Lonchura striata: one gene and its partners. The protein of the gene in region 2 interacts with the protein of the main gene of each other region in a pairwise test. Links are inferred from orthologs where the notes say so. Each region holds a gene or a part of one and is shown on either strand. Other genes may lie near its edges.

Evidence for each region.
Region 1: the proteins of RBBP8 (region 2) and RBL1 interact in a two-hybrid assay, tested with the Homo sapiens proteins (2 studies listed by BioGRID and IntAct). The link is inferred for Lonchura striata from reciprocal best matches to the Homo sapiens genes RBBP8 and RBL1.
Region 3: the proteins of RBBP8 (region 2) and RBL2 interact in binary tests that used the Homo sapiens proteins (3 or more experiments, as listed by UniProt). The link is inferred for Lonchura striata from reciprocal best matches to the Homo sapiens genes RBBP8 and RBL2.
Region 4: the proteins of RBBP8 (region 2) and LIMS1 interact in a two-hybrid assay, tested with the Homo sapiens proteins (2 studies listed by BioGRID and IntAct). The two-hybrid records come from large-scale screens. The link is inferred for Lonchura striata from reciprocal best matches to the Homo sapiens genes RBBP8 and LIMS1.

Annotation. Positions count from the first base shown.
Region 1 is NC_134619.1:14,349,648-14,357,107, forward strand, and holds the start of RBL1 (retinoblastoma-like protein 1), read right to left. Parts: upstream 3,432-7,460; 5' UTR 3,411-3,431; coding exon 3,279-3,410; intron 3,156-3,278; coding exon 3,022-3,155; intron 2,081-3,021; coding exon 1,880-2,080; intron 569-1,879; coding exon 504-568; intron 413-503; coding exon 284-412; intron 179-283; coding exon 18-178; intron 1-17. UniProt on the Homo sapiens protein: Key regulator of entry into cell division. Directly involved in heterochromatin formation by maintaining overall chromatin structure and, in particular, that of constitutive heterochromatin by stabilizing histone methylation.
Region 2 is NC_134603.1:47,356,762-47,364,432, forward strand, and holds the start of RBBP8 (DNA endonuclease RBBP8), read right to left. Parts: upstream 3,438-7,671; 5' UTR 3,347-3,437; intron 445-3,346; 5' UTR 336-444; coding exon 224-335; intron 1-223. UniProt on the Homo sapiens protein: Endonuclease that cooperates with the MRE11-RAD50-NBN (MRN) complex in DNA-end resection, the first step of double-strand break (DSB) repair through the homologous recombination (HR) pathway.
Region 3 is NC_134615.1:12,861,660-12,869,808, reverse strand, and holds the start of RBL2 (retinoblastoma-like protein 2), read right to left. Parts: upstream 3,408-8,149; coding exon 3,213-3,407; intron 1,569-3,212; coding exon 1,438-1,568; intron 268-1,437; coding exon 67-267; intron 1-66. UniProt on the Homo sapiens protein: Key regulator of entry into cell division. Directly involved in heterochromatin formation by maintaining overall chromatin structure and, in particular, that of constitutive heterochromatin by stabilizing histone methylation.
Region 4 is NC_134604.1:90,285,207-90,293,419, reverse strand, and holds the start of LIMS1 (LIM and senescent cell antigen-like-containing domain protein 1), read right to left. Parts: upstream 3,141-8,213; 5' UTR 2,850-3,140; coding exon 2,668-2,849; intron 490-2,667; coding exon 330-489; intron 1-329. UniProt on the Homo sapiens protein: Within the IPP (ILK-PINCH-PARVIN) complex, binds to F-actin, promoting F-actin bundling, a process required to generate force for actin cytoskeleton reorganization and subsequent dynamic cell adhesion events such as cell spreading and migration.

The DNA of each region.
Region 1 (7,460 bases), on a different chromosome or scaffold from region 2:
AAACTCGCAAGATGTACCTTCCTATCAAACAGCTTTGCAATGTATGGTTTGAAGTAGTGCTCCTTTATGCCTTTCGCTTCCACAAGGAGCCCGTCATGCAGCTCGCAGAGCATGGCAATGATGCAGGGAGGATCCTCGGAGGCTTTGATCTCCAGAGTGTGGAATTCCACTGGTAAGCCTGGGAACCAGGAGGAAGGGGGAAGACAACCAACCTTCAACTTCATTTCAAATGAGCCAAGAGAACAAAGCACAGTTGATTGTAAATAATCTATCCCCACCCTACCTTTAAATGACGGATTTAGCAAATCTCTTCTGTTTGGACACAGAAGGGCATTGGCAAAAATCAGGTCCAAGCAGCACAGAAGTAAATGATACGAATTTACTAAATCATCTCCAATCATACGGAAATTACCTTTAAGAGACAGTACATCATGTCAAGCAACACAACAGAAGGTCACAGCTGGGAACGTGTACAAACCATGCAGGCAAAGCAAGCAGCTTACCCTTAGTGTACACAAAGAGAGTCCAGCAGAAGTTGAAGAGATCTTTGACGCTGCACGGCACCCGTCTGTCAACAAGAGAAATAGGGGGAGAAGTTACTCTTCAGTTCCAGGAAGCCAAACCTTGTTCTACAGTTCAAATTTCATTCCATTTCCCTGCTTAAAACAACAGCTGGAGCTGCTGTCACAATTCCACACTAAGGCATAGTCTAAGCTACATGTCCCAAGTTCAGTTCTCACTGCCTGACAATGCCTGACCTTGCTCCACAGAGTGTCCTGCACACACCCACAACTTCTTAACCCTGTTCCCAAGCCAAAGGCTGCTTCTGGCTTCTGACCCTGCCACACTATTCTGCTGGTGTTGTACCTCCCACAGAACCCTCCTATGGGTGGGGAGGTGACAAAGGCTATATGTATTTTCCAGTGATGGCTTTTCCATTAGCCATTCCTTTGGAACAGGCAATTGTAGCTTGTACTACAACTCAGCTGCTGACTCCTGTTTGGAGCAGAACTATCCAAGCCCATGGAGCTGGAAGACCAAGGAAGACATGACTCAACCCACAGAGCAGCCAAAGCTGTGGTGGCACCAACCAACACTGCTCTGAGAAAGGAACACCAACAAAGCAGCCATCAGAGCACCTCCCCCTGCACTCTGCCTGTGGATGTGGAGCTACACTGGAGCACTGCACCAGAACAATGATCCCCCCTCACATCCAGAGAACCCACATGAACTGATAAAAACACCTTGCAGATCCACAGCTTGGCTCCCTCATCACGAAGGTTATAATCTCACTACAAAGCTGTCCCAGCCAGATATTCTTGCAGGGAGTATGGACAAGCTCCTTTCCGTAAGGCAGACATTCCATGTGTGCATTGAAGATGACACCACATGTTCCCAAATTTCTCAAAGAAATGAGCACATCAGCTGTAACTTCCCCCCATTTGGTGTTTCCACTCATCTGGCAACCACGGCAAACACCTGGCAGCATGGAGGTCACAGAATGTGACAGCCCTCGAGCAGACGGATCATGGTGTCACACCAACCTCCTGCCAGCACTGTGCCAAGACAGAACACTGCTGTGCTACTTCAGCTATTGCTGCTAAATGTTTGAAGTGTTGATCTCACTGCACCTTGGAGCTAACCTACCTCAGGGTACCTCTCCCCACCACACCCTGACACTCTCACTGTGGGACAGCTCCTGTGTTACAGCAGCTGCATATGCAGCTGACCTGAGCTGCACCCACCGGGCTCAGGGGTGGTTCTGCGCTGGCTGCATTTCAAAGTCAAAGAGACCCCATCACTCTGGAAATTAATTTTCGTAAACTTATATTGGGTATAACTCTTTCCAGGGAAAAATCACATCAAATCTAAAAAATACCTCTGCTTCCTGCTTCGATGTGGTTTGGAACTTTCTTCATAAGGGTTTTGAAATATATCAAAAAATATTGGTTCAAACTTTTTGAAAATCACAGTTGACACTTCAAAATTTCTCTCCAGCCTCTCAACTCGCTCTCGGAATTCCTGGGGCAGGTTTGACATGTCCATCCACTTCTTCATTTTGCTAAAAAACTGAATTAAACTTAAAAGAAAGAAGAAAAGTCTGTTTTCAGCTTTAACTAACTTCCATTCTAAAATTTTAAAAAATCAAAGTGCAACATATTTGCTCCTTTAAAAACTGACATAATTACTATGTAGGTTTACAATTTATTTTGATAAGACTTCCAAACTGCGTGTTATCAGCTTTTTGCCTTTTATCACTCTGGGGTTTCTCCTTGACCTTCTTTAACGCACGGGAACGTTAACTCGATGTGGAGGCTGTCAGCGTGGCTGTGTGGAGCAGGGCAGTGGTGAACAGCAAAATGCAGGCACAGCTCTGTGAGTGTTGAGGCAGAGGTAGGAGAGGGAACAGAACAAGCCAAGAGTCAATGCCCGTCAAAGTTACCTGCACAAAAACCTGACAGCTGGGGATGTAAATAACTGACAACTCCTCCAGCAGCTCAGCAGAGAGTGGGGTCTTTAAATGGAATGAGCAACATTCCGGGCTCCATGTGCCCAGTTCAGAACGCCAGTGACAGGGCAGCTGCTGCTGGGGCCGTGCGGAAGGTGAGTTCTGTGATCACCTGTGCTGTGTTCCCAGAAAAACCAGCGTCTGCCAGCACTCCATCGAGATTTGGCCTGAATCCTGAGTCAGGCACACGTTGTACCGGGATGGCACGCGCCTAAATGTTTGTGGTAAAATTAACTACGGAGAGAAACAACTGGCGTGTGTAGAACGGCTGCTGGTTCGACATAGGTGGTTTCCTAAAGGCTTGAAGTTGGAAATTACGCATTTCAATCTAATTTCCATCTGTAACAAAAGCGGACTTACTGCTTTAACCTCGCCGTGGCTGGCAGCGCTGGGAGCGCAGGCGAGGCTCCCGGACTAGCGGCTCTGGCAGGGCAGGGCAGGGCAGGGCAGGGCACTCCCGGCGCCGAGTGCTCGGCCCCAGCCGGGCCCGGCCCGGCAGGCGGGGCGCTCACCTGAGGCGTGCGGAGCGCAGGATGCGGGTCAGGGAGACGCCGTTCCCCTCCATCGGGCTGCTCCCCACCGTGGGCACGCGGCTCCGCCGGCAGGCGACGTACAGCGCGCAGGCCAACCAGTGCAGCGCTTCGCCCTGCGGGCACGGGCGCCGCGGTCACCGGGGCAGCGCCGCGGTCACCGGGGCAGCGCCGCGCCCCTCAGGCTCGGCCGGAGCGGGACCGCGTCCGCCCGGCCGGCCCCACCCGGCCCCGCTCACCTCCAGGCTGTAGGTGCCCCGCAGCGCCGTGAAGTCGCGCAGCGCCTCGGCCGCGCTCGCCGCGTCCAGGTTGAGCTCCCGGCAGAGCCGCTCCACGGCAGCGCCGGGATCGGCGGCCGCCGGGCGGGACATGGCGGCGGAGCGCGCGCCAAAACCGCCGGAAGGGCGGGGCCGCTTCCGCCGCGGGGGCGGGGCCGCGGGCACCGGCGGGGGCGGCGGTCGCGGCCGGCCGGGGTCACCCGGTGTCTGTCACCCGGTGTCTGTCACCCGGTGTCTGTCGCCCGGTGTCTGTCACCCGGTGTCTGTCGCCCGGTGTCACCCGGTGTCTGTCACCCGGTGTCTGTTACCCGGTGTCACCCGGTGTCTGTTACCCGGTGTCTGTCGCCCGGTGTCTGTCGCCCGGTGTCACCCGGTGTTACCCGGTGTCTGTCGCCCGGTGTCTGTCACCCGGTGTCTGTCACCCGGTGTCTGTCGCCCGGGGTCACCCGGTGTCTGTCACCCGGTGTCTGTCGCCCGGTGTCTGTCGCCCGGTGTCACCCGGTGTCACCCGGTGTCTGTCACCCGGGGTCACCCGGTGTCACCGTCTGCAGGCGGACGCTCGGTGCTGGCGGGTGCTCGCGGCCCGTTCCCGCGCAGGGCTCCGGGAGGCCGCGGCAGGAGCGGCTTTTCCTCGGGCCCCAGCGCCCTGGCACACGCGTGGCTGCGGCATCTTCTCGGCGGCCTCCGCGCCCCGCAGCGCCGGGGAGCCGCTCCACGCGTGTGCCGCGGCCGCGCTCCCCGGCACCCGTGGCGCGGCCCCGGCCCGATCCCGGTCGCAGCGGGCGCTCAGAGCGTTTCCAGGTCCCTGTTCCACTGGAACCGGCGCCGACGGACGGAGCCCCCTTGGGAGCGCTCGTGTCTATCGGAAGCCGTGGCCATGGAGACACCGCCCGCCCTCGTGGGCAGGAAAGCGGCTCCCGCACCTCTGGAAGGGGCTCTGGAAGAGTCACGCAGCGTCCGCAGCGCTGGTTCGATAGGGAACAGGGCTCTGAACCCGCCTGTCACTGGAGGATACCTGAACCACCTCCCTTCTGCTGGGAAGGCGTGGGACGGAGAACACGCGGAGCACGCCCGGAGCGGGTGCGGCGGATCCCCCGCCCCGGTACCTGCGGCGATGCGAGGATGCTCAGAGGATGTTCAGGATCCGGCCCCGCCGCACCCGCTCACTCGGCAGCCCCTGCCCTGCCCCGACCTCCGACCCCACTCAGAGATCCTGGGGTTGGTTCTTGAAAATGCTCTTCTGCAAAGTGCAGGGATCAGTTCGTGGGATCCGCGGGCTGGTGAGGCTGGTTCCTCACAGAGAATCTAATCAGTTTTGTGCTTTCCAAAACATAAAAACCAGCCTTAATCCAACATTCCATAAAACCCAGCCTTAATCCAACATACAAATCTATCTGGAAAATACTGGCCATAAGAGCATGGAAAACTGCTTGTCATAAGCAGACAGGAAATCTGTTTCATTTGTGGTATTGAGACTTTGGGTCCCACAGGTTTGTTTATTCCTTCTGGACCAGAGATGTGTCTTCCTCTAGGTGAGCCAAGCTCTGGTTTTTGTGCATCTTTTCCTCTATCAGAAATCTCTGTCCTTTTCTGAAGGGGAAAAAAGACACTGTGAGGTTTTCTCTTAAAGTTTTGTTTTTCCAAAGAATACAGGCAATTCCTGTACAATGTCTCCCTGTGCTATAGCACAGCCAGCTGAGAAACTTGACAACCAAGGCTTGGCAGGAGCCCAAAGAGAGGAGAGGCTGGAGCATCTGCCATGGCTCTCACTCCTCCCAGTTGCTCCTGCAACAGGTTCAGGACAGTATTTCTTGAAACCTGAAGGCTAATGCTGGGCTTGCCTGAACCGATGTATTCAGGCAGGCTGGGACTGAGTTCCAAGTTAAACCAGTAATGTCACATCTCATCCAGACCACTGGCAAATGGAGCCAGGTAGTCGTGCTGTATGGAGTTGTTCATTAATAAAAATCCCACTGGAGGGAGAACAAGGCCACTTGGGGAATGAGACATCTTCTGCTTGGGCTGAAGATCTTGCATTGTTTTATACCTCTTGAGGTGAAATCTTGATTCTTCAGAAATTAGTGCCACCTATGGCACTGCACCAAAGGCCTCCAGGCACCCCTGGGAGCACCATGAAACAACGAGCATCCCCAAAAGCCATGTGGGAGAGTGAGGATGATGTTCCTAGGCCTGCTGTCCAAACGTACAAGGCACACTGTGCAGATTGACGGGAAGGGGATTGAGAGAGAAGCTGGATTTCTCCTCCCTCTGCTTTCCCAGAGATGCTGCTCTGCAGCACTGGCAGCACTCTTTCCTGGCAGCACTGCCTGCTGTCTGGTGCCCATGGCCGAGCATGGGTGCTATGGGCAGCTGGGCACTGCCACACGGGGCGTGAAGCATCTGGGGGCTTCACCTGTAGCCTAGTCCCTGGAAACTTCTTTGAGGTTGTAAAATGTGAGGAGATTCCTCACATTTGATCTCGTGACTCAGCCTGTGCTCCAGAGCTCTGGGGCTGAAGTAGCTCCTTGAAGAGGTGAGGAACAAAACTGCACTGAAAAGCTCAAATTTAAATGCAAACCAGATGTCATTAGAGAAATTGCCTTCTGCTCACTGCTGACCAAGATTTCCAACCCCAAATCCTTTCTTGTAACTGTCAAGAGCCCAGAGTGGGTACATCTGCACCCAGGGTAGGTAAAGTTCCTCCAACCATGGCTCAGTACTGAGGAAAATTCTTCCCCCCTTTTTTGTGACTATAAAGGGAATTAGAGATCCTGTCTAAATGTGTGATGAGACTTCTGTCAGATAAAAACCAGGCAAGGACAGCAGGGATGTGCAGCTGTGCCTGTTTTACTCTCTCCAGGAAGCGGCACTTGTATCCTGTAAAACACAATAGGGAGCAAGCTGTGCCCACAGTGCCCATCCTCCACCACATCCACTCAGTGCTGCAAGCAGGAAGCACACCTTGTCTGAAGAGACAGAGACCAGCCACCACTGATGTGACAGCTCAAAGCCAGCACATGCTCCTCCAGGGCCCTCCTGCTGTAGCCTCTGCCAGCAAATATCCTGCATTATGGATGCCGAGCACAAGGATGCAGTGTGTGGAGCCAGATTTTAAAGAGAGATTCTGGAACTGGAAATTCATAGCTCATGATACCATTTTGCCAGTCTTTTCTGTGGGGTACTTTTCTATTCTTCCTCCCCAAAGGAGCAACAAAATACCAGGACAAGGTGCTTACACAGAGCAGGTGGAGCAGTAAAAGCACTGCTTTTACTCTGTGTCTTTTTTCCTGGATCTTGGAAGAATAGAGCTGGTCCTACATATCATTCTGACGAAACACTGACGAATGTCTGCTTTGCTAAAGCCTGAGATCCTTACACAGAGATTTAGGACAAGCATTTCACAGAACTTGGAGGTACAGGAAGCACAGGGAGAGGAGCCCAGCACCCCCAGTACCCCACCTGCTGTGAGGGGCTGTGCACATGCCAAGGGGTGTAACTGCTTGGAGGGTGGGGGTGTGTGAGACAACTGTGGAGGCCTCTGGACTTTTGCCCACCCTTGCGGAAAAAGCATGTCAGCAGAGAGCCCTGGTACATCCTCTGTGCTTAAACTGTCCCTGGAGCTTGGGCTGCTCCTGGCATCTTGCAACCCACGTGGAACATGAGTTCCCTCAGGCTGGCGAGTTCACCCAGGGCGCAGTGGGAGCTGCAGCTTCGCCCCCTCGCAGCCAGCAGCAGAGTAACACACAGGGCACCAGGAGCAGCCTAGAGCAGTGACCAGGCAGCTGCTTTCAACAGCTTCTCAATGGGATCATGCTGAGAAAAAGGCAAGTCACGTTTATCACTGAGTCAGGTGAATTAAACATTCACATATATTTGCTGAAAAAAATTATATACATCTGTAGCAAGGCTCTCCCAAGTCTGAAAGATAAGCATCCTCTAGTCACTGAATTAAAAAAATAAAAATCTGACTTTTAAATATTTTTCTTTTTATCCATGTTCAAGAGCACAGACAGTTTATTTTGTTAGCACATTTTGTGAAGGATGTATGTGTGTGAATAGCCATGAAAACCAGTCAAAATTTGGCATTTGTTTGGGATATGATGGAAAAGAAGAAGCAGCCACTTAACGCCTTACAGTCTAAAT
Region 2 (7,671 bases):
ACCTAGCAAATAATTTATATGTGATGATAGTTTATTCCTGTTAAGCCAAGCTCAGGTAGTCAATCTCTAAGGATCATTTGTAATCATCAGGTCTAATTTTCTGCACAACTGAAAACATTAAAAATCTATTTAGCTCCATGGAGAGTATTTTGGTTCAAAGTTTTCCTGTGGTAACTGACAAACACCAACTTTAGCCTGACAAACCCAACCTTCAGTGACTTACCTTGTACTTCTTTATCGTGACATTCTTTCAGTTTGGACCACAGTTCTTTGAAGAAATCTCCTGTAGGTTCTGCAGAACTAGGGCTCCCACAGCTTCCTCCAGATGCATTCATCTTGCTTTATTCTGCTCCCAGCTTCTTTAACTTACAGAACTGGCTCTCTCTCAAATTTTATATTTTAAATTACATAGTTATGAAACTGTTTCTGAAGAGGGGCGTATGTCTGTAACAACAGAATGATAACACATTTGAATTTATCAGAGCACCACTTGTAGCCATGGATGAAATACAAAGTTTACTGTCTATCCTTGTTGAGGATACATATTTATATACTTTCACACTGACAACCACCCTGAAAGCTTGGACACTGCTAAGTATTTTGCCGCAGATAATTACAAACTAACAGAATTTTCTTCCCCTTAAAAAGTTATCAACCTAAAATTAGATTAAACCACTTAAGAGTCTTTATTTTTTTCTTATATAAAGATAGAATTATACCGAATTCCTGTTTTCCAAAAGTAAGCCATAGTGCCAAAATCTGGCTGTCAGCAAAAGCATTTGTCAAAAGTTTTATCAGAGATGGATTTGTCTATATACATCGTTTACATAAATTTGGATTCAAATTCAAATTACATCCTTTTGCAAAGAAAAACTCACATCCCCTTGAAGTGTTCATAATTCTATATTAAAATTATTCCAATTCCCTGATGAAAAAAAAAATGGAGAGTAATCACAAAAATCTATAAATCTCCAAAACAATATTTGAGAAGAACAATCAAAGTCATATAGCTCTTAGAAGCGTGACTGCCTACAAAATTTAGGATAATCTTACCCATAATTCTCAGTTGTTTTGAAGGGTTTTTTACAGGGATGATGCCCTCAGGCCAACTACAGAGGAAGCACGGTACTCAGATCTGGTTCTGAGCCAAGGCAAGATTCAATTCTACTGACACTACTGGTGTCCAATACTCAATTCTACTGGACACTACTGGTGTCCAATATTGTAATACTTCTGTAATCTCTGTCCTTCAGTTCCCTCTGTGTGAAAATGGATATTCCTCATTTTTATGCAGTCAATTTTAAACAAACACTTCTGAACAGGGACTGTTCATTACCAGGTGGACATATCTATCTCTATGATATTGTAATATAAAATGCAGTAAGAAAAAAAAAAAAGCTAGGTATTTCATACTATTCCTAAATTAGCAACTTGAGCAAGCAAACCATCATGCCTATACTGCCAAATGGAAGGAACAATTTGCTCTAAAATTTTTGAGGTACAAGTTCAGATGATACATGGTCTGTGACTAGTCAAGAAGCTGCGTTTCCCATCTTGAAAGCCTTTAAACAACTTAAGAGTATCTAAATGCAGCTACTGGTTTAGCTGGTCTCCCAGATTCACCACAATAAATTGTTCAGTCCACTGGTCAGTGATCAAGTGTAGGGCCTGGAGGCTTCAGTTCCACTCTCCTGTCTCACTCCTCTGTGCACGCTTTTAAGTAACTTTTGTTCAGTCTGGCTGTCTTTACAATGGAACAAAACAATATTCTCAACAGAAACACTTGAACTGTATGTTTTCTATAGTATAAGGATATTTAAATCTTACAATAATGCAGCCAGCAGCTCCACATTTGCTTTAACCTGCTCTGTCCTTAGCAAATTCAGGATATGGCTTCATGTTAGCAAATGTTCAGAGAACTCCTTAGTAGAAAATAAAATTACCCTTTGAAATTAGCAATGCTTACACGTTTTCAACATAAGCTGGACAGTGATTTGCTTGCATCTTTGCAGCTGAAATGCTCCACTTTGTGTGCAGCCACATTAAACCATCTTACAACACTTCTTTGTGGAACCAACTGCCTAGTGACATTAGGAATGGCATTTAAACTCTTGCTTTGCACCTTCAACAGATGTTTCAGGATCAAGCTTTTTTTCTGTCAAGCACTAGGGCAGTGAAAACCACATGCTTGTTTCACTTACTGTTTGAGATTTAAGTATGTCAGATGACTCATTTCCATGAAAAAGTCACCTGAGTCTAGACAGTAAATGGTGTCTGTAGTGGTTTTTTTGGATTTTTTTCCCTAAGATGACTGCAATAAAAAAAATGCACAAAACCCGCTCAGAGTTTCTGCAAATTATTCGGACATCAACCGACTACAAATAGTAAAAAATGAGCAAAGCATTTTCCCAAGCTTCAAGATACCAAAATGATACATTGCTCCCTACAGGTGTTCAACATCTCTTAAAACACCGGGCTCGCAAGAAGCGCTCAAGTCGAGCCTTTGACAGGCCTGGGCAGCTGCACAAGTGTAAAAATGATGGCTTAGTCTCCAGCCCCAAGAAACTGCTTTCCAGTCCTTAGGGGAAAAAACAGCAGGGCTGGATGTACGGACACTTGCAGGCAGGGACAGAACTGGAAGCTGCTTGGGGTGGAAGCACAGCGCCAGCCCCTCTCCCGGATGTCCTGCTTTGCTGCTATCCTGCCGACTGCCGCTTTCACAGAACCACCTAAACGCGTCCATTTCCCTCTGCTTCCACAAATCAACTCCCGCCGGCACGGTCAGGCTTTCCAGGGCTTCATCAACGATTGCCTGCGGGAGTCCGTCAGCACGGATGAACGCGCCGAGGCTGCTTATCGGCGTTGATGCCTTTCGGCCGGGGACGCACCGCCCCTCCGGGACTCCGGGGAGCACACGGCGCCGTGGTCCCCACCGGCTGCTCCTACAAACGCAACTCTCCTGCACTTCCCGGCGGTGGGCTTCGTTCTCTTTCCCCTCTTGCACGAACACCGCACAGAAAACTCACTCGAGAGACACGCCGGGATGCTCTGGGAAATCCTGCCATGACCAACACCTGGGAGCTTCCCGCCAGGCTCGGGTCACACCCCGCAGCCGGGACGCCGGAGGAGCGGTATGGCATGTCCCACACGCCGCTTCTCCCGAGCGGCGGGAGCCTGCCAGACGGAGAGAACGGGGCTCCCTCGGGCAGGCGGGCAGCGCCTGAGGAGCCCCCGGCGGGGACCGGGGCCGGAGGGGCCGCGGCGGGGCCGTCCCGGGGCGGGGCGGGGCGGGGGCGGCGCTCGCGGTCTCTCCCCGGCGCGGGATGAGGAGAGCGCGCGCCGTTACCTGGTTGGCTCCCGCCGGCTCCTCGCGCCAGCGGCGGGAAAAAAGGAAAAGCCGCAGCGAGCGCCTGGCCTGCCCGGCGAGGCGGGGCCGCGGGCCGCTCTCGCGAGGCTTCCGCGCTGCTCTCGCGAGAGAGGGGAGCGTGAGGGTCCGAGCCCCCGCGCCGGGCGGTCGCGGGGGGTTCGGGTGCGGGGGTGACAGTCACAGCGTCACGGGACTCGCTGGGTGGAACACAACAGTGGCCATCGAGTCCAGCCTAAGTGCTACGTCCAGTCTTTCCTTAGCACCGCCAGCGAGGGTGACTCTACCACCTCCCTGGGCACTCCATTCCAATGTCTACTCACCCTTTCTGTGAAGAAACTTCCTAACGTCCAACCTAAACCGCCTCTGGAGCAACCTGAGGCCGCTTCTTTTTGTCCTGTCACTTGTTGCCTGGGCGAAAAGGCTGACCCCCACTTGGCTGCACGCTCCTCCCTGATGGTTGTAGAGAGCGGTAAAGTCTCTGAGCCTCCCGGGCTGCACGGCCCCAGCTCCCTCTGAGCCTCCCGAGGGCTGCACGGCCCCAGCTCCCTCCTCTGAGCCTCCCGAGGGCTGCACGGCCCCAGCTCCCTCCTCTGAGCCTCCCGAGGGCTGCACGGCCCCAGCATCCTCCTCTGAGCCTCCCGAGGGCTGCACGGCCCCAGCTCCCTCCTCTGAGCCTCCCGAGGGCTGCACGGCCCCAGCTCCCTCCTCTGAGCCTCCCGAGGGCTGCACGGCCCCAGCGTCCTCCTCTGAGCCTCCCGAGGGCTGCACGGCCCCAGCGTCCTCCTCTGAGCCTCCCGAGGGCTGCACGGCCCCAGCTCCCTCCTCTGAGCCTCCCGAGGGCTGCACGGCCCCAGCTCCCTCGGCAGTTCCTCATGGGACCTGTTCTCCAGATCCTTTCCAGCTTTGCTGCCCTTCTCTGGACACACTCCAGCGCCTCAGTGTCCTTCCTGAATTGAGGGGCCCAAGCCTGACAGCCTCACCAGTGCCAGGTACAGGATTCTGCTGGCCACACTTTCTCTGACACAGGCCAGGATGCCATCAGCCTTCTTGGCCACCTAACGGCACTGCTGGCTCATGTTTGTTCATCGATGTCACCAGGTGTTGTCTCAGTCCTCTTCTCTGGCCCATTAATTGGGGCTACCACAGAGAGCTGCCAGAAGAAAGCCAAGGGGACAAGCCAGGCCACAGCTGGTGCCACAGTTCAGTGTCACAGCAGGCACAGAATACTCTGGAAAAGCAAGGGGGTGTGCGGGAGCCTGCATTGAAACAAATGCTGCCTCAGCCTTCCTGAAAGAAACTCTTGCTGGTTTAGATGTCAAGAGGATCACCAGGGTGTACAACTGTTCCAGAAGTGGCCTTGCCTTTGAGGCTGTGCTGTTAAATCTATCTGTGCCCCAGGATTTGTAATCTGCTTGCTGGGGCTTACACACAGAAGTATGGGGGGGAGGGGGGGGCTTCCCCCCACTCTCTCGACCTTAACAGTTTCTATGACTTGTCATTTTACTGTACCACAGAGCAGCCTAGGCATATTTTTGTGTTAGGTAAGTATGCAAACCAGTAGGCACATATAATTAGTACAATATAAGGCTGTTGAACTTTTTTGTTACTTCTCAATGTTATTTTTTTCCCCTATTTGGGACCAGCCCTACTGTCTGCAATGAGATAAACCCCTTGATTTTAGGTAGTTCTTAGTGATGAAATAGAAACAAAACACAGTTTTTCACTATTACTAGTCTGCCTTAAATGATTTCACTGGACCATTTTGGTATGTATAGGAATTCTTGCAGAGACATCTTGGTGGCATGACTAGAAGACATAATAGTAATCAGTTTGGAAGGGACAGTGCTGCAAACATATACTTTCTAGATCGTTAATAGAAATATTTAAAAAGTTAAGTGTTCAGGTATTTCATAATTGTTAGTAGCTGTTCCATCTAATTATTTTTACATTACTCAGATCACTCAGGTCTCAAGAAAACATCATAAATAAGGAGCTGCAGCATAAATAAAACTGGATCTGAAATACTATTTCAACATTTTTGAGGTATTTTGAAGTACTGTCAGAAAGGAGATGACACATGATTCAAGCTTCAAATCTATTGTTCCCCATTGTTGAGAATATTGTTGATTTCCCATCAAGTACATACCATGAATTCTGAAGTATTTTGAAAAAATCTTGTTCTTTTCTGCTCATTCCTCATCATTGTTAACCACTTGGTTTTTGACTTAAATAAAATGAATGTGTTGTTCAGGAGCTCAGCAGCAGATTACTTATTGTAAGATCAAATTGTAAGTTTAATCCATTATCAAATTAGTAGACATATGGTGGAACTAAAATTACCTACGTGTTTTGGAAGAAGCTGTCATGCCATAATAGGCTGTGATAGACACTCCAGTCTTTCTAAATAATGCTTGTTGGCAGCTTTTCATTCAACTTTTGAAACTTCTGTAACCTAAAAGTTTGTGATGTAGGCAAGCAATCATTTCCTCATGTTAAGAGAAGCAGATGTCTTAAATCTACACACAGATCTGATAAGTAACAATGAAATAGTCCTCTGGCTGATTGATCAGATATTTTACCATAAACTGTACCTTTCTTACTATTTATAGGAAGCACTCTGGCAAATAATTATGTCATCCATTTTATTTCCCAATAAACTCTGAGCTGTTTGTTTTCATACTCTCTCATGTTGATCTTTACAGCAATATAAATCCTCTGTCTTCTACAGTGCTATCCTTATCTACTCCACAGTAAGTGAAAAGGGATTAACATTAACGGTTGAACTTTTATTTTATCTCTCTTCCACATTTATTTGATTTTATGTACTCTGTAATCACATAGTTGACCACTGAATAGATTCCTGGGTCATTGAATGTGCTAGAAAACTACTGGAGAGTCTGATATTCCACATTCCCACACTGAGTGTCTTAAGATGACTAGTCTGACTGGAACTGCATCTCATTCACCTCGTAAGAGTAAACACACACACCTAGACAATAAAACTGTGGGAAAAATGCTTCACTGTTGCTGCGCTTGAACAGATATGAAACTTCCTGTGGTGTCATGGCTCGTGTCCAGATTTCAGAATAACCCATACTGTGGCCCATTGAACTAGGTGACAGAACACTTATCCATGAGCAATTCTGCAAAAAGGGAATCTTATTTTGTCCTAGTCCATTTTAGACCTGGATGGTATCAACAATTTAATCCTATGATAGTAGGTGGCACTATCAATTTTCAGTTAGTTTCAGTTATGTTTCAATTGCCAATAAGGACATCAAAGGAGCCCAACTTCAGATGCAGCAAATATGAGTATATGGCACAGTTGAGCTGCTACCTAAATGAGATTTAACTGGAAGTGTAGGAACTGGAAGTGCTCTGAGTAGCATGATTTCGTACAGCTGGGAGGGCACATAGACAACAGACACCACCACTGCTGTCTGGCACAGGTGGTTGCCTTCTCTGGAAAAATAGGGAGGAGCCACTCCATCACCCCACTAGTTGAATTTGATTCTTCTCAAGGGCTTGTATAGCCATGTTTGAAACTGAGCCAAGATCAAATTCCCCAATGCCAGTAATGCTGTTCATTTTAAGGAGCCCTCTTCTTTGAAGTGCTTTCACTGCCCCTCATCTATAGTTAGAAACTGCCAGGGCTTTTTCAACTCAAACTCTCAGGTCTCTTAGGAAGACTTGATGGATGGGTTAAAAACAAAAAGGCAACATGAGGGATGCTGTTGCAGGACCCCAGTGCAGTGTTCCTGGTCTTCAGGCTCTAAGCAGCAGCACCTATTTGTGTTAGCTGCATGCTAACACAATGTTTTGCTCATACTGATGTTTCTCAAGGTAACATGACCAGTTTGAGTAGTTACACGTATTTATCTCAGCTTTGGAAGGCTGAAGTAAAAGTTAACAGATCCGTGTAAAAAATCATGCCACCTACCTTTTACTGTAGTGAACAACATGAATTCAGGGACAGAAAAGAAGCAACATATAGGAATTAATACTTACCATTTGAGGAAAAGAATCCCCAAACAATAGCCCCTGTGCATCCAGCCCCCTAAAAAAAAAAAGGCAGCTGAGGAAAACCCAAATAAAACTGAACACATAAACTGGAGTGGGGATGGCAAGCAGCATTTTGAAAAAGTGGTTTATTTAGTTTGAATTTTAAATCTATTTAATATGTTCTGTGTTAAAATCCTATAGCTTTAGAAATCAACACTATCTTGTAGCATTTTAGGGGCTCTACACAGAGTTTTTGTGCAAACTATACAGTTCAGCCAGCTGTAATTTTATTTGGAGAATGG
Region 3 (8,149 bases), on a different chromosome or scaffold from region 2:
ATCAACTTCATTATATATTCACTAAAGTAATGCTCTAAAATCGGTCTGGAAATAATAGAAACACACCTCTGTTTCCTTCCTCTCTGTTGACGAGGTTGATCTTCTTGAGGATACCTGAAAATGTCCTGGAAAATGGGCTCATACTTCTTAAAAATGACTGCAGAAACAGTGAAGTTCCTCTCTAATCTCTCAGTTCGCTCTCTGAACTGGGATGGTAGATTTGCCATGTCTTCCCACTTCTTCATCTTGTTAAAAAACTCAATCAAGCTGCAAATACCGAATGGGCCATTAGTTTTTCATGCAGAATTAAACCCTACATTTTCAACAAAAGTGCAATTTTTACTGCCCGAACTACTGATGAAATGGTGGCTCTGCAAACATGACAATGAACTCGGAGCCAGTCCTTCACCCATAAACATGGATGAGCTCAGACAGCTCGTGAAATATTTTTAGATCCTTGGCTGATAACCCCATTAACTATGTACTCACAGGTCTGGCATCTTCTCACAAAGCCAAAATCAATTCCAACAGTTAGATTAATTTGAAATCAGATTTGCCTTGTTTTTCTGAATAATTTATTAATTTAAATAAATCAACCTATGAGATCTACAATGCTAAGAATATTCTACAAAGTATGAGAAACCTCTTAAGTTTTAGAAAATTGCACTTTGCAAATTTGGCTTTAATTCCTTTACAGCTTCTTTATCTTCATCTTCTTTATCAGTGTTATTAGTCTTGATAGTCCAGATCACGGAACCAATTTATCAACATTCAGTTCCCTGAATTTCTGATTTGGAAAATAAAAGCTTATAGAGGAAAGCTTTTGCATTGTTTAATCAACAGCAATGCTTCAACAGTAGAGGAAACCGGCTAAGAAGTACGTAAGAACATTCTTTTTTTTGTGAGAATCTATGGAATTTTTAGAAAACAACGAGATTTCTAATAAAGTCAATTATTTCAGAAGCTTTTATTTATTACTTTATAGACATAAGCATCTGACACAAAATTGTTTGTCAGATTCTGACCTCATTTAATGATTTTACCAAAACCATGTGAAAAGTGAAGTCTTATGCAAAAACAGAGATAAAGCTTGTGAACATTTTCACAATGAACTACAAATGGTTTCTCATGTGAAAAGTTCACAATTTGCACACTCCCAAAATTCATGGTTTTTCAGTGTCTGGCTTCTTGCTCCTTTGAGTGAAGGAAGTAAATCTCTCATTTTGAAAACCAGCGTTTTCATGAACATAGTACTGCCCTACTTCTTTGGCAGTGGGCTATAACACAAACATTCTGGGGATATAGACTCTACACAGACTTCAAAAACAGGAAACAAGAAACACATTTAGCTTTTATTCTCGATTTCCAATTTCACAAGGTGATAAGCACTCTTTGTGATTTTTTAAGTGTCTAAAAATCAGCAAGAATAAAAGTTACCTTTGGTCTGAACAGCGCAGGATTCTGGTTAAGGACACATAATTTCCTTCCGCTGTTCCCCTGCTCACAGTTGGAATTGCTTTCCTGCAAGCCACATACAAGGCACAAGCCAGCCAATGCATGTCATTTCCCTGTGAATCAAAACATCAGGCATCTAAAAAACTGCACTGAAAACAAAAACATGCTTTTTCAGCTACCCCAGCAGCAGGGAAAAGCACTGTCCCAAACAGATGAAGTTCAACCAGTGAGAAAGTAGATTTGCTGTTTCAAACTTCTGTTGCGCTTTGGGTTTTTAACTGCAACAAAACAGGTGCTAAATAGACACTGAACACTGAACTGCATCAAAACTACTAGTTGCCATTATAACATTTACATTTGACTCAAAATATCCAATATATTTTCAGTATATGAAAATATATTTTTAGTGTTCATCTACAGCATTTTGTACTGCTTGGATTTAAAAGAAAAAGAAAAAAAAAAAAAAAAGAGAAAAAGAGAAACTACTATAGTTCTTGCAACCAAAACATCCTTCTGCCCTGAAGAGACAGCAGGAAAAGAAAAACATTGCTTCCATTTCGCTCTGTATTAAACAGCAGAACAATTATTCAATCCGGTACCCAAAGAAAGAAGTTATTTCTAATGAGCACTTGAAATTTTATTCTTCGTCTTTGAGCAATGAGTAACACCTCAGTGGAAAAAGGAACGGGAAGAAAGAAGGGGCCAAACGGAATTCGATGCTGCGGTTGTTGGTTCTGTCGGGCTCCGCGGTGCCAGGGGCCCGGCTGAGCGCCCACCTGGGGGTGTGCGAGGCAAGGCTCGATCCCGAGCACCGCCGCCCGCCCGCGACGGGACAGCGGCGCGGCCGGAGCCGCTCCTCCTCCCGCAGCCCCGAGCCCGGCGCGGAGCTCTGCCCGAGAGCCGCGGGGGCAGCGCGGGGGCAGCGCGGGGCAGCGCGGGGCAGCGCGGAGCAGCGCGGGGACAGCGCGGGGCAGCGCGGGGGCAGCGCGGGGGAAGCGCGGGGGAAGCGCGGGGGAAGCGCGGGGGAAGCGCGGGGCAGCGCGGGGGAAGCGCGGGGGAAGCGCGGGGGAAGCGCGGGGAAAGCGCGGGACAGCGCGGGACAGCGCGGGGAAGCGCGGGGGCAGCGCGGGGCAGCGCGGGGCAGCGCGGGGGAAGCGCGGGGGAAGCGCGGGGCAGCGCGGGGGCAGCGCGGGCCAGCGCGGGGCAGCGCGGGGAAGCGCGGGGGCAGCGCGGGGAAGCGCGGGGGCAGCGCGGGGCAGCGCGGGGGAAGCGCGGGGGAAGCGCGGGGGCAGCGCGGGGCAGCGCGGTTATCACAGGCGCCACCTTTGCTGTGGGAAGGCACCGATAAAAGCTCCCGGGCGCGTCACCGCGTGTTCCTGTTTTCCAGAACGACGCGACCAACCCTTCACCTTCCACCCTCCACCCGCCCGGCCCGGGCCGTGCCGCGGCCGCGCAAGCCCCCAGAAATAAGTGACAAATGTGATCGCACCTGCGCTGGCATCCCCGCGGGCCCCGCGCCGGCCGAGGCCGCCGCGCCGCTGCCCGGCCGAGCTGCGGAGAGCCGAGGGACCGCAGTGGCGGGGGCTCTTCCATTTTTAACACCTTTCCGCCGCTATGACTCCCAGTGGCGATGGTCACTCCCGGCCGCCCGGGCGGTGCGAGGGAGAGGCCGCCGCGCCCCCGCCGCCGTCCCTCCCCTCCGCACCTCCCCCGCGCGTCCCGCCGCGCTCCCCCCGGCCCCGCCACCCCTCCCTCACCTCCAGGGTGTAGTTGCGCCTCATGCTCTGGTAGCTCAGCCAGGCCTCGGCGCGGGCGCGCTCGTCCATGTTGAGGTTCCTGCAGAGCTCCTCGTAGCGCTGCCGGGTCTCGCCGTCCTCGCCCGGCGGGGACGGGGCGGCGGCCGCGGCCCCCGCGGGACCCGGCTCGGCCCCGGCCGCCTCCTCGCCCGCCATGCCGCGCCCCGCCGCTGGGGGGCAGCTCCGCGCCTGCGCCGCCGCCCCGCGCGTTCGAATCCAAACACCGGGGGACGGGCCCCGCCCCCGCCGCGCGCCGCGCCCGCTCATTGGCCCGCGGGGCAACAGCCCGCCCCGCCCGCGCGCAGGCGCACGGCGCGCGCTCCTAGCACGCACCGCGAGACGCGCGCGCGGCGCGGATCGGGAGCGCGCCCGGCGCGCGAGCCCCGGGCGGGGCGGGGCCGGGGCCGTGAGGGGAGCCCGGAACGGGCGGAGAGCGGCCGGGCCGGCTGCGGCTGTACACGAATAGACACAAACACACGCACGAATATACACGAATATGTGCACACAGTGCGGGGTACGGGCTGCACACAGACAGACACACAAATATGTACACAGAGTGCGGGGTACGGGCTGTACACAAATATATACACAAATACGTACACAGAGTGCGGGGTACGGGCTGTACACAATACACACACAAATACGAACACGGTACAGGCTGTACGCTCACACAGAGCGAGGTACAGGCTGTACACAGGCAGTGAGGGGGAGGAAAGACAGAAATAGCTCCCCTGGTCAGGTGCCAGCCGAGCAGAAAGGAGGCTGCCAAAAGTAAGGTTAAACTCCTAAAGCAGGTACGTGTCAATGAAGTGACCAGTAAAACAGGCTGCACTTGATTAAAAGACATTTATTGACTGTTGGCTTGATTTTGTATTACTGGTATTTCACGAACGTTGAAAGCTTCAGGGAAAAAAAAAAAAAAAAGAAATGTTAAGAATATTTGACTGACCTGAGATGTGATTCAGGACACAAATACACACTGGTACCCAGCAATGAGAACTGCAGAAAGCCCAAGCTGGCACTGGAAGATGGTGATGCCAGCAGGGTTCCCCCCAAACCTGCAGCCCCTAGACTACCAGAACAACTTACAACTTTAAAAAGGAGTGATTAGATTGTATTTCATCTTACTTTTTGTTTTAACACAGAGGAGCTATGAACTTTGCCATCAGGCCAAGTTCCTGCTCTGAGTTATGCACAGCATTGATGGGAAGCTCTCTGCCACCCATAAGACTATATAAATTATGTAAGGCTTTTCTGTTTAGCTATATTTACAGTATCTACTAAAATACAAAGCAACAATAACTTATTACAGCATTTAATTTCTACTGAGAAATAATTCATCTACTCTTTAAAAATCCTTCATATAAAAAAAGGAGGAACAAACCCTCACAATATTGAAATACCTAAAGAGTTAAAAGGTTAAAGGATCAAAGTGAAGTTTATTATGCAGTGATTACACCTGTGTACTTCCCTATGGTTTCATGCATTCAGACTTCATAAATAAATGGTTTGACTGCTCTTGTGTAGAAAACTTTTTTTTTTGAAGTTTTTATTTAATGGTGTACTGAAAACTCAGACAAGAAACATACTTTTTTATCCCTGAGGACTTAGCATCACTTATTTCTCCACTTCTCCCTTCTTTCCCTCCCGCTCCTCCCCCATTAAAAGGATGCATGAATAATAAAGTTACCCTCATATGGCATGTTAATTATTTTAATGATTTTGACTATTGCTAGATGTTAGACCTACCAGTATGACAAGTAACAGCCACAAACACCCTCTCAGCGCGAGTCCGTCACAGCTGCTTGGCTACCCCTTGGCAGCATACATTTTTTACTGTGCTGTAGACTCAGAAATCTTCCCCATGAACATGTCTTGCTCCCTGCTTTGAGCTGCTGCACGCAGCTCAAACACTGTCAAGGACAGGACCTGACATGGTAGTCCCCAAATCAAATGCTTTTGTCGTCTGAGAGCAGAAAACAGTGTGAGGACTGTTACCAGTTTTGGTGAACACTAAGGAAAATGCTCTCATCTCTCTAGATGATGACACTGTATTTGTTATTAGGATCCCAAGAATTTCCCAAACCAGCCTTCCTTTAATTCAGGAGACCTTACCTGGAACACCAGTGCACTGTCAGGTCTCCTTCATACTGGAAACACACAGGAGGCAGAGCAAACAAGTCCTCATTTTCCAGTTTAACTTCATGAAGGATCTTGGGCACTACACCTTCCTTCCTTCCTTGCATGAAAGAACCTGAAAGGAGGCAGCATTCAATAAAAAAACATCATAAAAAGAACTTGGAAAGCTGTTATCTTTATTTCCTTTTCCTCTAAATGTTAACAAAGAAATTATACTGCCTGTTTGTGTAACATTAGGGACATTCAGATAAGCCAGGACAGTTATTTTGTAAACTGTGGCTACACAGTACAATTAGTCTGCTCTACAGACAACACCACCAGCCCAAGGTCCCAACAACACAGAGATATAAAATTTTAAATGTTGGTCAACTACAGCAGTGTAAATCCCACATTGCACTGAAACAGCCTTGCTCATGTGGAAGGTAATTCTATGTGTAATAAAACTAAATCAGAAACTGCCTATAAAACTGTTAGTAACTTGCAAATCACAAATAAGTTAATGTAACACTATTGTGCAGCCCCCTTTATATTAACCCTGAACACCAGGCACATTTCATCTTGCTACAACTTGCATTAGACCTTCCTCAAACCTTCATTTTAATGAATGGTCACACTGAGCAATCCATGAAAAATTTATTACTAGATAACATGGCACAAATAATTTTGTTGGACACAGAATAAAACATACAGGACAGGACTTTTCCCTGGACACCTTGTTAAGAGTCTTATCTAATCATACCCCACATACTGCTTGGAAAAATTTCAAAGGAGTGCCAGAAACTAACCACTACTATAGTGCCTAGAGCATCTTGGGAATACTTCAATTGAAAACATATTTCCATATTTCCATTGAAAAACAGATCTTTATATTTTAATTTACAGACCAAGAGGACTGGATTCTAAAACTAATTTTAAAAAATACTATTGGAGATTTTGCATGACTTCCATGGAAAAAAGAGAAGTTGAGAACGGAGCTCATGTATATGTCAACTTCTAACACCTGTGTACACATCTGCAGAAGCTCGAAAAAGATGATCAGGATATGAAGATAAAATTCAGACTGAAATAAATAAGGATACGATTGAATCATTCTAATGCAATGCCAGGTGGCAGGAGACACCTTGGGTTCAGGAGCAATGTCTGTGCCCTGTGTGAAATACATGCAATAGTTAAGTGCTGTGTACATAATTAAAAGCTTTAATGAAAATGTGGAAAGTAATGCAAAGTTTTTTTCTGAAAAAAAAAGACTGAAAAGGTACTTACTTCACTGCCAACATGCTTATTTAAAATTAAGGTAACTTTTGGACCAGAACCTAGACTGAACATTCTTTTCTAACCATAAGTACTGAAGAGTGGGAGTAACAGCTGGTTTGATTGTAAGATAAGAAAATTAGGGGCAATTGATTCCCAGGAAAAATATACAAGAGTAAACCATGGTCTTGGGCAGTAGGTGTGTTATGTCCTTGGCTTGTTTGCAGGGTTTTTTTTAAGGTCTTAAGAATAATTTCAGTTTTAAAACTTAGCACTGAAACTTGAGTTTTGCTGCTGGAAGATCCATGTTTAATCCTTTCACAGCATTACTTTCACATACGGAGGCTGACATCACGGGTAGTCAAAGAATATGTTTAATAAAAAATAATTAAACTTCCATTTGCTCTATAGAACATCATAGAAAGTAATTCAATAAATTACAAATGACTTTTTAAGACGCTTGTTCAACTACAGAAAGCAAATTCAGACTACACAGAACACAACTGGCAAATATTGCAAATGTCCAAAAAAAACCTGGACTAAGACTTGGATCATGAAGCCTGAAACAAGGGATAGAAATACAAGGCAATAACAGCTAAGGTTTTTTTAGTAACTACCAACACACACTTTATCATCACCTTGGATATCCTTTTAATTTTAACTCCAGTATTAGTGTAATTCTACTGAGGTTTCCTTATAACCCTTAACTTTATACAACCGTATTTGCATATAGTTTAGCTGATAGTGGGACACTTTTTTCCCCCCTCTGGATCAAACTGATGAAAAATAACCCAAATATAATTATGTTCAAGTCTACACCAGCTTTCATTACTTGAAACTGTAATTGCCTTATTACATAGAAAGAATCACTAGAACAGTAACCAAACTTACTTGACCATAATAGGAAAATACTTTATTTCATAAATCTGATATAAATTAGGTTTTAGCCACAAGATTTAGGACTTGTTTTGTGGGGGAAGGGTGGGAAGTGATGGTGTTGTCGACATACTCCATCAGCAAATGAAGTTAATAACTGCTTGTAAAACTTTGGCTATTTCATAGATGCATCCTAGTTAAATAAAAGTGCTATATTACACAAAGGGCAAGATATTAAATATGAAATACTTTTCCTTTTAATGATGAAGAATTGGCTACCCCCTTCTCTTGGCAGTTTTTGATTTTCACTATTGCTAAGACACTGCATGAAGGGCCAAAAATCAGAATACTATCTGGGAAAATACGTAACCAGCACAATCCAAATGGTACTTGTATAGTTGTGTAATTACATCTAATACTGCTTCTAATCATGGGGCTAGTTATTTTGCACATAGAAACTTATATTTCATTGGTAAAGTTCTTGATAAAAAACAACACAGTTGTTTTACTGTACAAGCAAGCAACAGAACTATATCAAAATATACAGTTTTTGTTTTTTATTTTTAAATTTATCCCTTTGTAAAGCTTTTTCCATGACTTTCACTAGTACCTGTATCTATTTTCTCTTAACA
Region 4 (8,213 bases), on a different chromosome or scaffold from region 2:
GTATGTTTCTTATATATTTCTGGTATGATACATCAGATTCACAAGTTTCAGGGAGAAAATTTGCACTGAGAAAAGAATCTCCAGGATTTTTTCTCTCAGTGCTGGTAATATTAAGGTCCACACTTAAAGAATGTTATATACATGGATGTCCTCCAAATTAGCACAGAAATGCTTCTGGTTTTTTTCTCCCTTTACTGGGCATACTCTGTTAGAGCCCAGATACTCTCATGGGACTTTCTAAGCTATCCACCTGCCTGTAGCTACTTCTGCTATGGGAATGAAGGCTCAAGAGGGGGTATGGGGACAGCAGGGGTCTCTGCCCCACTTACCTCATAGAAGAGCCCTTCGGGGAACTGCTGAAAGCACTGGGCGCAGACGAAGCACTGCTCGTGGTACAGCTCACCATTGCTGTTCACAATTTTCTCGGCAGGGGCAAAGCCCCCCCTGCAGCGCTCACAGATGGCGTTTGCAAGCGCGTTCGCCATGTTGCTGTCATTCAAAAAAAAAAAAAAAAGAAAGAAAATTAGCCTAAGTAGACAACAACACTGGTCATCAGTCTTTCCCCTGCTCTACCAGGCCAAACTGCACCAACCTAATGATAAGCTGCTCAGCACAAGTTTTTCCATGAACTTCATAGCTTGCGGCATCTCCCTGCTCCCTAACTCTTTAGATAGAAACAAAATCCCTGTGATATGCTCTAATTAATTGAAAACCCCAAACAGAAACCTTGTCTCTTCAGACACATTTACAGGCTTTCTATGATGAAAAAAGGCAATTCAAAGTACTATAAGAATTATGATATACATTAAAATGACTGAAAACAAGGGCAAATATTAATGATTAAGGACTGGCATCACACAGTAAAACATAAATTATTTATTGTAAACCAATTCTAATACATACATATATAACTTCTAAACTATACATATATAATGGCATTGGTTCAGAGCTCTAAATAAACAATGTGAAAGAGTGTGCAGGATCTAGTCTGGCAGATATTAATGAAAAACAGAGTAGTTAAATAATTATCCTTTATATGAGCTCTGCATAGCTTGAAGTCATTTTACAAATTTAGTTTGAAATCATGGGATTTTTGATTGCTTTGTTAGGGTTTATCTCAGGGAGCTCGGCTGATCATGTGCCAGCTCATAGCCCACTCCAAGGCTAGGGGGGAGGAGAGGGTGGGAATGCTCTGGCTGCCCCACTGCGACCCATGCCAGGGATGCAAAGAAATATTGAAACAGCAACCTTGGTTGCTTCTCAAAGGCACAGGACCAAAAAAAAGGCAGTGTGGTAGCTGTCCACATCTGCAGAAGACAGTATAGCTGATTTTCAGTTAATTAAAGCCAGCAAAAGGCTCTTTTGGTTTTCCCTTTGCAAACATTCCATCACTCATATCTAGGCTCTCAAAACTCTGCCTTTCAGGATCATCCTTAATACCATGTGGTAACAGAAAGTAAATATAGGGCAATGGTCTAGTTTCATTAAAATGGGATGTCAGCTGAGAAAACTAATGACTCAATATTTATCTGGAAGGTTATTAGACAAGTGACATTATTTGAAACACATATGCATGCAGGCACGCATTTTGATAAGTTATCATGCTGTGCCTGTAAGTGCAGAGCCCACAGTCCTCTGTAAGATGCCAAGCCTTCCTTCTTATCTCTTCAAGGGGATAAGACCTTTGGGCTCCCACCATGTTCAATAGGAATTGAATTCATTCCTTGCACACTATCCAAGGGAGCAAGCAAACACCTAGCACGTGGTTCAAAATGGAATGTGTTTTATCTATTTCTTACACTGTCTCACAGAAGAGCCCTACACAAGGTCACATTTGACATGTTATTATTAGCTAGCACTTTTTTTTCTCTCTCACTTGATCTTTGCAGATGAGGAAAACGGTAACTGCAATCCAAATATCCACTGTCCTCACAGTGAAATGAGTGGGCAAATTTCACATGAAGATCAGACACAGGATGGTCTAACCCCTAATAACAGACAGACCTATGGACAAACTGCAGTGACTATACATATAAACTGTGATCAACTGTAAAGGTCATCAATGGTCTTCATTGACTGTGTATGCTTTCTGTGGGGCAAAACCTCAGTCAATTTTCCCATCTTCCTTATCAATCTAAATGAAGAATAATCACAAGAGAAACTGGGATCTTTCATCATCACTTCAACAGTGCTTGAGCATTAAGGATTCTAAGCACTGATGTACGTAAAGTACAATCCAAGCAAAAACATGAAACAAAGTTCAAAACCAAGTAAAAACAGTTTCCCTCTTCAGGAAAAAGTGCTTAACTTTGAAACACATCACATATGTAAAACTAGTGAAGTATGTAATACTTCTGCATTAATGAAGCGGTTTATCCATTTGCCCAGAATAACTGGCAAACAACCTGAAGGCAGAGAGACTACTTTAAAAATTCCAACACCATTTTTACTGCTGATAAAAATTCCTGATGCAATTCATGATGAAATTTAAAGCAACAATTCAAATTTTAGTTGTTACAACTGGCAATGTTTCAAGCAGAACAGTGGCAAAGGTTGAATGAGAGAACAGCTTGCACAGCCTGAGCCCCAGATAATAAAATATATTATGTACAATACACCAGTAATGTCACTGCAGTTACACCCCGAAGCTGAACAGAACAAACTTACAATCTTGCATAAAAATCACAAAACTCTTTGTAGAGTTTTATTTCACTGTGCCTACGTTGCAATTTTGACACCGGTTTCTCGCCTTCATTTCCTGCGGAGTTGTGAGCATCAGGAGTGACCTTGTAGGCAACCTCTTCATCCTCTGGGATGGGGAAGGGCTGAGCTCTGCGTTGGAAGTCCATCTCGCTCTGATTGCTTTCCCAGGTGTATATATTCTATGCTTAGACTGCAAACAAACTGTAGGCAAAGTCCGCAAAACAATATGCTGGACTTCCCCTTGTTCCCAGCGAAGTGATTTACTTTCACAGCTCCTGTCATGTAGCTGGAGCTACTCAGCACCCTGCTAGAGCTTCAAGTTAAAAGTTCAGCAGCAGGGCTGGGAGCCTGTCACGCTGAGATTTACGCAGGCTGGCTGTGCACAGAGAACACTCCCCTCACCAGGCCCTCATGTAAACTCGGATGCTGGAAAGGGTCTTCGCTGCTGGCTGCTGACAGAAGCTGCCCAGGAGAGCTGTGGTGTGAGTAACCTATGTGCAAATAAGTTTATCACCAAACTTGGCTGCAGCTTCTTTATGCTGTGGGGGCGTGAAGGCAGAGTCCAACAATATTTTATCATGGGCAAACCAACAGTGGAAAGCAGGATCAGAAGACTCCTGTCTCCAGGTAAATATTGCTTTAATGCTATAGTGTGTTAATTACATTGTAAAAATGACATTTAATGCTCCACTTGTGTCTTTTAAGTCATATGTGTTGAATTTATCTATGTATGTCTTTCCTCTTCTCAGTACTTCAGACAAGGGGAAGGTACAAGCAGATTGTTTGATTTCTGTTCTGTTTCTCAGGCCATTAACAAAACTGACAGGCATGCCATAATGGACAATACATGAAGGAGGAAAACCAAAGCTTTATTTCCAGTGATGTGCTGCATTTAGAACAACTATCCAATGTAAGAACACTAACTAAAGTAAGATTTACAGCTAATAATTAGACTCTTACAAGCTCTCCCTCTTTGAAGCGCAGTGTTTGTGGCACAGTGCCTGTGGGCTTCCAGCACTTTATAACTGCAGAAAAGGAAGGCTTTTGGGAAGCCCCCCTGAGTAACTAACTTTTGTGTTGAACTGTCTCAGCCTTGTTAGCAACCAGTTGAACTGCAGAACTGCATGCACTTTGTGCTCATGACACACAGCACACTGGCAGCTGAAGAATCTGCTAGTCTGTGAGGGGGCATGAGGAAGCAGAGGATGACAAGAAGGAGATGAGTACCAGGAACAAATAGAGAAACTAGAACTAAGATCAGAGAGTAATAGAATAATTTAGATTGGAAAAGACCTCAAGACCACTGAGTATAACCATTAAACTAATACTGCTACATTCACCACTAAATCATGTCCCCAGGTGCCACATCTACACATCTTTTAAATACTACCAGTGATGGTGATGCTAATACTTCCCTGGGCAGTCTGTTCCAGTGTTTGACAACATTTCCATGAAGAAATCTGTCCTGATCTCCAATCTAAACCTTCCCTGGTACAACCTGAGGCCATTTCCGCTTATACTGTCACAGGATATGACAGAATGTCCAGTCAAGGCTACAATTTCTTAATATACCTGCACCTTCCCTAGGACCTACCACAGAGGGTCTGGTTGGTGATGTTTTTTGGCCATATCTCTCACCACCACCTAAGACAGCTTGCTCAGCAAGCGTACAGCAGCCCACACGCCACTCTCCATGCAGGCCTGAGCTTGCATGCAGCCACCTTCCTACAGCTCAGCCAACACAGTCCCACGCTGCTGCTTCTGCTGACAAATTTGTGGAATGGGTTTGGTCAGTGTCTTCCCTTCACTTCCCCTCAACAAGGAGCAACAACCCCCTAGGCAAGCTATTTCCTTGCGTAGGTGGGACCCAGGCAGCATGACCCTGCTGATCTGCCTGTCTGTAGGTGTGATTATTCACCCTATGCCAGAGCTACCAGAAGTCAAGCTCTAACAGGCTAAGGAAGCTGCACCCTCACCACTGACACAGCCTGGCTGCAGCTCAAGTCCTATTTTTATCTGTCATAGGGCACACTGCAGATGAAGCAATGCTCAGGTTCTAGCCCAAGGCCAAAAAGATCTTGCCAGAGCACCACTGCAGTCCTGGAAGAAAAGGTTTCTGCATTCTCTGAAGCATGAGTGATGAAAATGTGCAGACTGCCAACAGACATGCAGGTATAGTGATGCCAGTTCTTCTTCATCTTGCTTCCCAACACTTTTTGCACAGGTCAGTGCTGAGCTTCTGTGGGCATAAAAAACTTCAGTGAGACTGACTACAGTGGACTAAAAATGCTGATTTATTCAGGATTAGTAAAGATAAATGAAGCCACTAAGATAATAAACAGCAAGTGAGCCTACCTCTTCCTCTTATCACTATCTTCTCAACAATTTCCCAACTCTTTTCCTGTATTTTGTCCCAGATCACAGACAATTCTCCTGGGAAGATGCTGCTGTAAATCAAAAGTGCCCCATAGAGACTTTTTCCTGGTGGACTACTACAGTTTTGCAGTAATCTGAAATCCACAGGTGACCAATGTGGTTGGAAACAACTTCTGCTGCCTCATATTCTCTTTGGTCAACAAGAAAACATTTGATTGCTCCTTCACCTTGCTACTGTGCAGTCTTCTGCATGGCTGTAGCAAAGCAAGTAGTACAGCAAGTTAGTGCAGTAAGATGTCCATCCAAAAAGCCTGGTTTTATCTTCCTAGTTTTTGTCAGGAGCAAGTCCTTCAAAGTAACAGGACTCCATATGTGCAGTAAGTAGAAGTTGTCTGGTTCTCCAGTCATATTACCATTGCTGCTGGAGGAATGACTCCAAATTTTTTCTAATAAACAAGAAGGAGCTTAACAAGAGTTTTAAAAGGGCCTTTATGCTACTGAAGCAAAACACAGCTTCTACTGTGAAGGTCTGATAATCCAGAGCAGCTGGCCATCCTTCTCTTTTCTGACATTTTATAGGAGGCATGCTGCCCAGATCTGAAATACATTGTTAAAAATACACTTCATTTTCATGAGGGAATTCTAGGTTACTCTGAGGTGAAGCTGTCCATGGAGAGTGAGAAGTATGTAAGGGGTTGTTTTGCAGCAGCAGCTTCCCAAGGGCATTCCCTGGGATATGGGACAAAACACAGCAAGCAGCCTATTGTTAAAGATGCAGTGCTAGGGAGAAGAAGTTGGGCGTTTAACTAGAAAAGACAGGTATGAAAGAAAAAGACAATCTCCTCTTGGCACACTGAAGATCTTATCAGAAGCCAAAACTGATGGTAGGGAAGGTGCTGAAGGAAATGGTAGAAGAGGGAGGGAGAAGTGTTCCACTGCGGTTACCAGAAGGGCTTTGGTAAACAATAGCAAAAATAGGCGCACTGCCTAATCCCTGCTGAAGGATGACTGCCGCCTCACTCCACGCTGCTTTCGCTGCACAGCTTTCCAGCCTGGCTGCCCATGCCGGCGGCTGCCAGGGGCAGACAGGGACTCTTACAGTGACGGCTCGGTGGCCAGCCAAGCCCGCTGAGCATTTCACTCCGTGCCACAAATAGCCGTGTGCGGAGCAGCCACGGCTCCAAACAAGGTGCTTGGCAAAGGCAGCTGCTGCCTGGCAACCTGTTTGTGCCACCGGGACATACAGCTGCGGGAGGAAACACCCGCGGGGACAGGCGGGGGATGAACAAGCACAGTGCATCCCACCTCCTCCCCCGCAGGCACGAGTGGGTTCATTCCAATGATGCAGTAACAGATGCTGTGCAGTGACTCTCACACGCAAAATACAGAACAACCTAGAAAAGAAGTTTGGCTGCAAAAGACGCGTGGGCTTGCAGTGCCCTGCTCTGATTTCTGCACCAACATTTCAAAGCACTAGTTGACCTTTTGTGAGGGTTTCTTATTGAAATTAAAAACACTCTTGGGTTCTGGTTGCTGCAATTGTTTATCTCTTAAGCAATAAAATACTTTCTGGTCTCCTAAGGCAGTTTGAAAAAAGTAATTAATATTTTATATAATTAAAATGCACATTTTTACAGGTTGGATTTTCACATGTGCTCAGCACTGCTCCAACTACTTCTTCTATTAAAAATTATGGAAAACCATCTTGAAAACACTGCAGTAAAAATCATGTGAATTCTGAGTGTTCCTGAAAGTTTCATTCTTTAGTCTTCACCTCAAAATACATAATTAAGCTTATGTGGTGGGAGTTTAAACAGGGCAAACAAAAAGGCAATTCTAGTTGTTTCATATCCTCCAGTATAAATTTATTCTAGTATAAACATGTCCAAAAAATGCTTTGGTCTCCATAAACAGAGAAGGTTCACATTCCATCTCTCCATAAGGAAGTAAATATAACTGGAATAGACAGGTAAGCAGCAGCTTCCCACACAATGTTTATCAGTCATTCAGGCACAGTGAAATATCAGTCTCTGACAGAATTTATATAAAGGAAGAGCAATATGCAACTACAGCATTTTCCTGTTGTAAGTAATATTTCAGCAAAGTATTGTGTTTTCTTCCTGCTGGTTACATCTATTACCAAATGAAGCATAAACCAAGTAATAACTTCTGTGTACAGATATTTGATACTCTTTAAAACATTCATCTCGTCCTCCCACACTACTGTTTCCTTCAATCCTGTGCAGACAGGAAAAATAAAACAAACAGTACCATATATGAGAAGCTCATGAACTCCAATAATTTTGTGTTGCATGTGACACAGCACATTATTGGCTATTCTTGAAATCTGCACCTGAGTAGTCAACTGCAAGTCTATTTCATTATGGTATCCAAATTCCTCCAACTCTATAAATTTTAAGGATACATTTGCACTGATGCATTTCATATAACACTTACATCCTCATTTCTAATTTAAGAATAATAAAAAAGGTCAGCCACTTAATTCTAGGGGCTGCACATCAAATGTTCCTGAGACAGTCGCTGTGAAAAGAACCATCTTTTCAAGCCTGAAAAGAGAAAATCAAGTCCACCAAGCTCTGAAAAAGTGACAGGACAAGAAGAAACAACCTCAAGTTGCTTCAAGGGAAGTTCAGATTGGACATTATTTTTTTTTGTTTCATGCAAAGGGGCGTCAAGCATTTGGAACAGACTGCCCAGAGAAGTGGAGCAGAGTCAACAACCCTGAAACTATTTAAAAGACATGTAGATGTGGCACTTGGGGACATAGTTTAGAGGTAGACCTGGCAGTAATGGGTTATTAGTTAGACTTGATATTAAGAGGTTGTTACAGCCTAAATGATTCTATGATTCTAAAATGCAGTAACGTATTTCTCTTTAGGGTAATGGCTTCCTTGCACAAATATTCAGTTCATGTCATCTGTCACTGACATCCACCAAAAATCCTCCACTGAATCCTCAGCGTACAGGCAAATGCCAGCCTTTGATTCTGCCTGAGTCATCTGCCTGCACTATGTGGAACCAATGTTTTGACAAGCTGAACATCATGATCTGAACAGCTCATCCAGGAGCTATAATTAATACTATGACTCAACATAACACCCCAGCACTCAGGA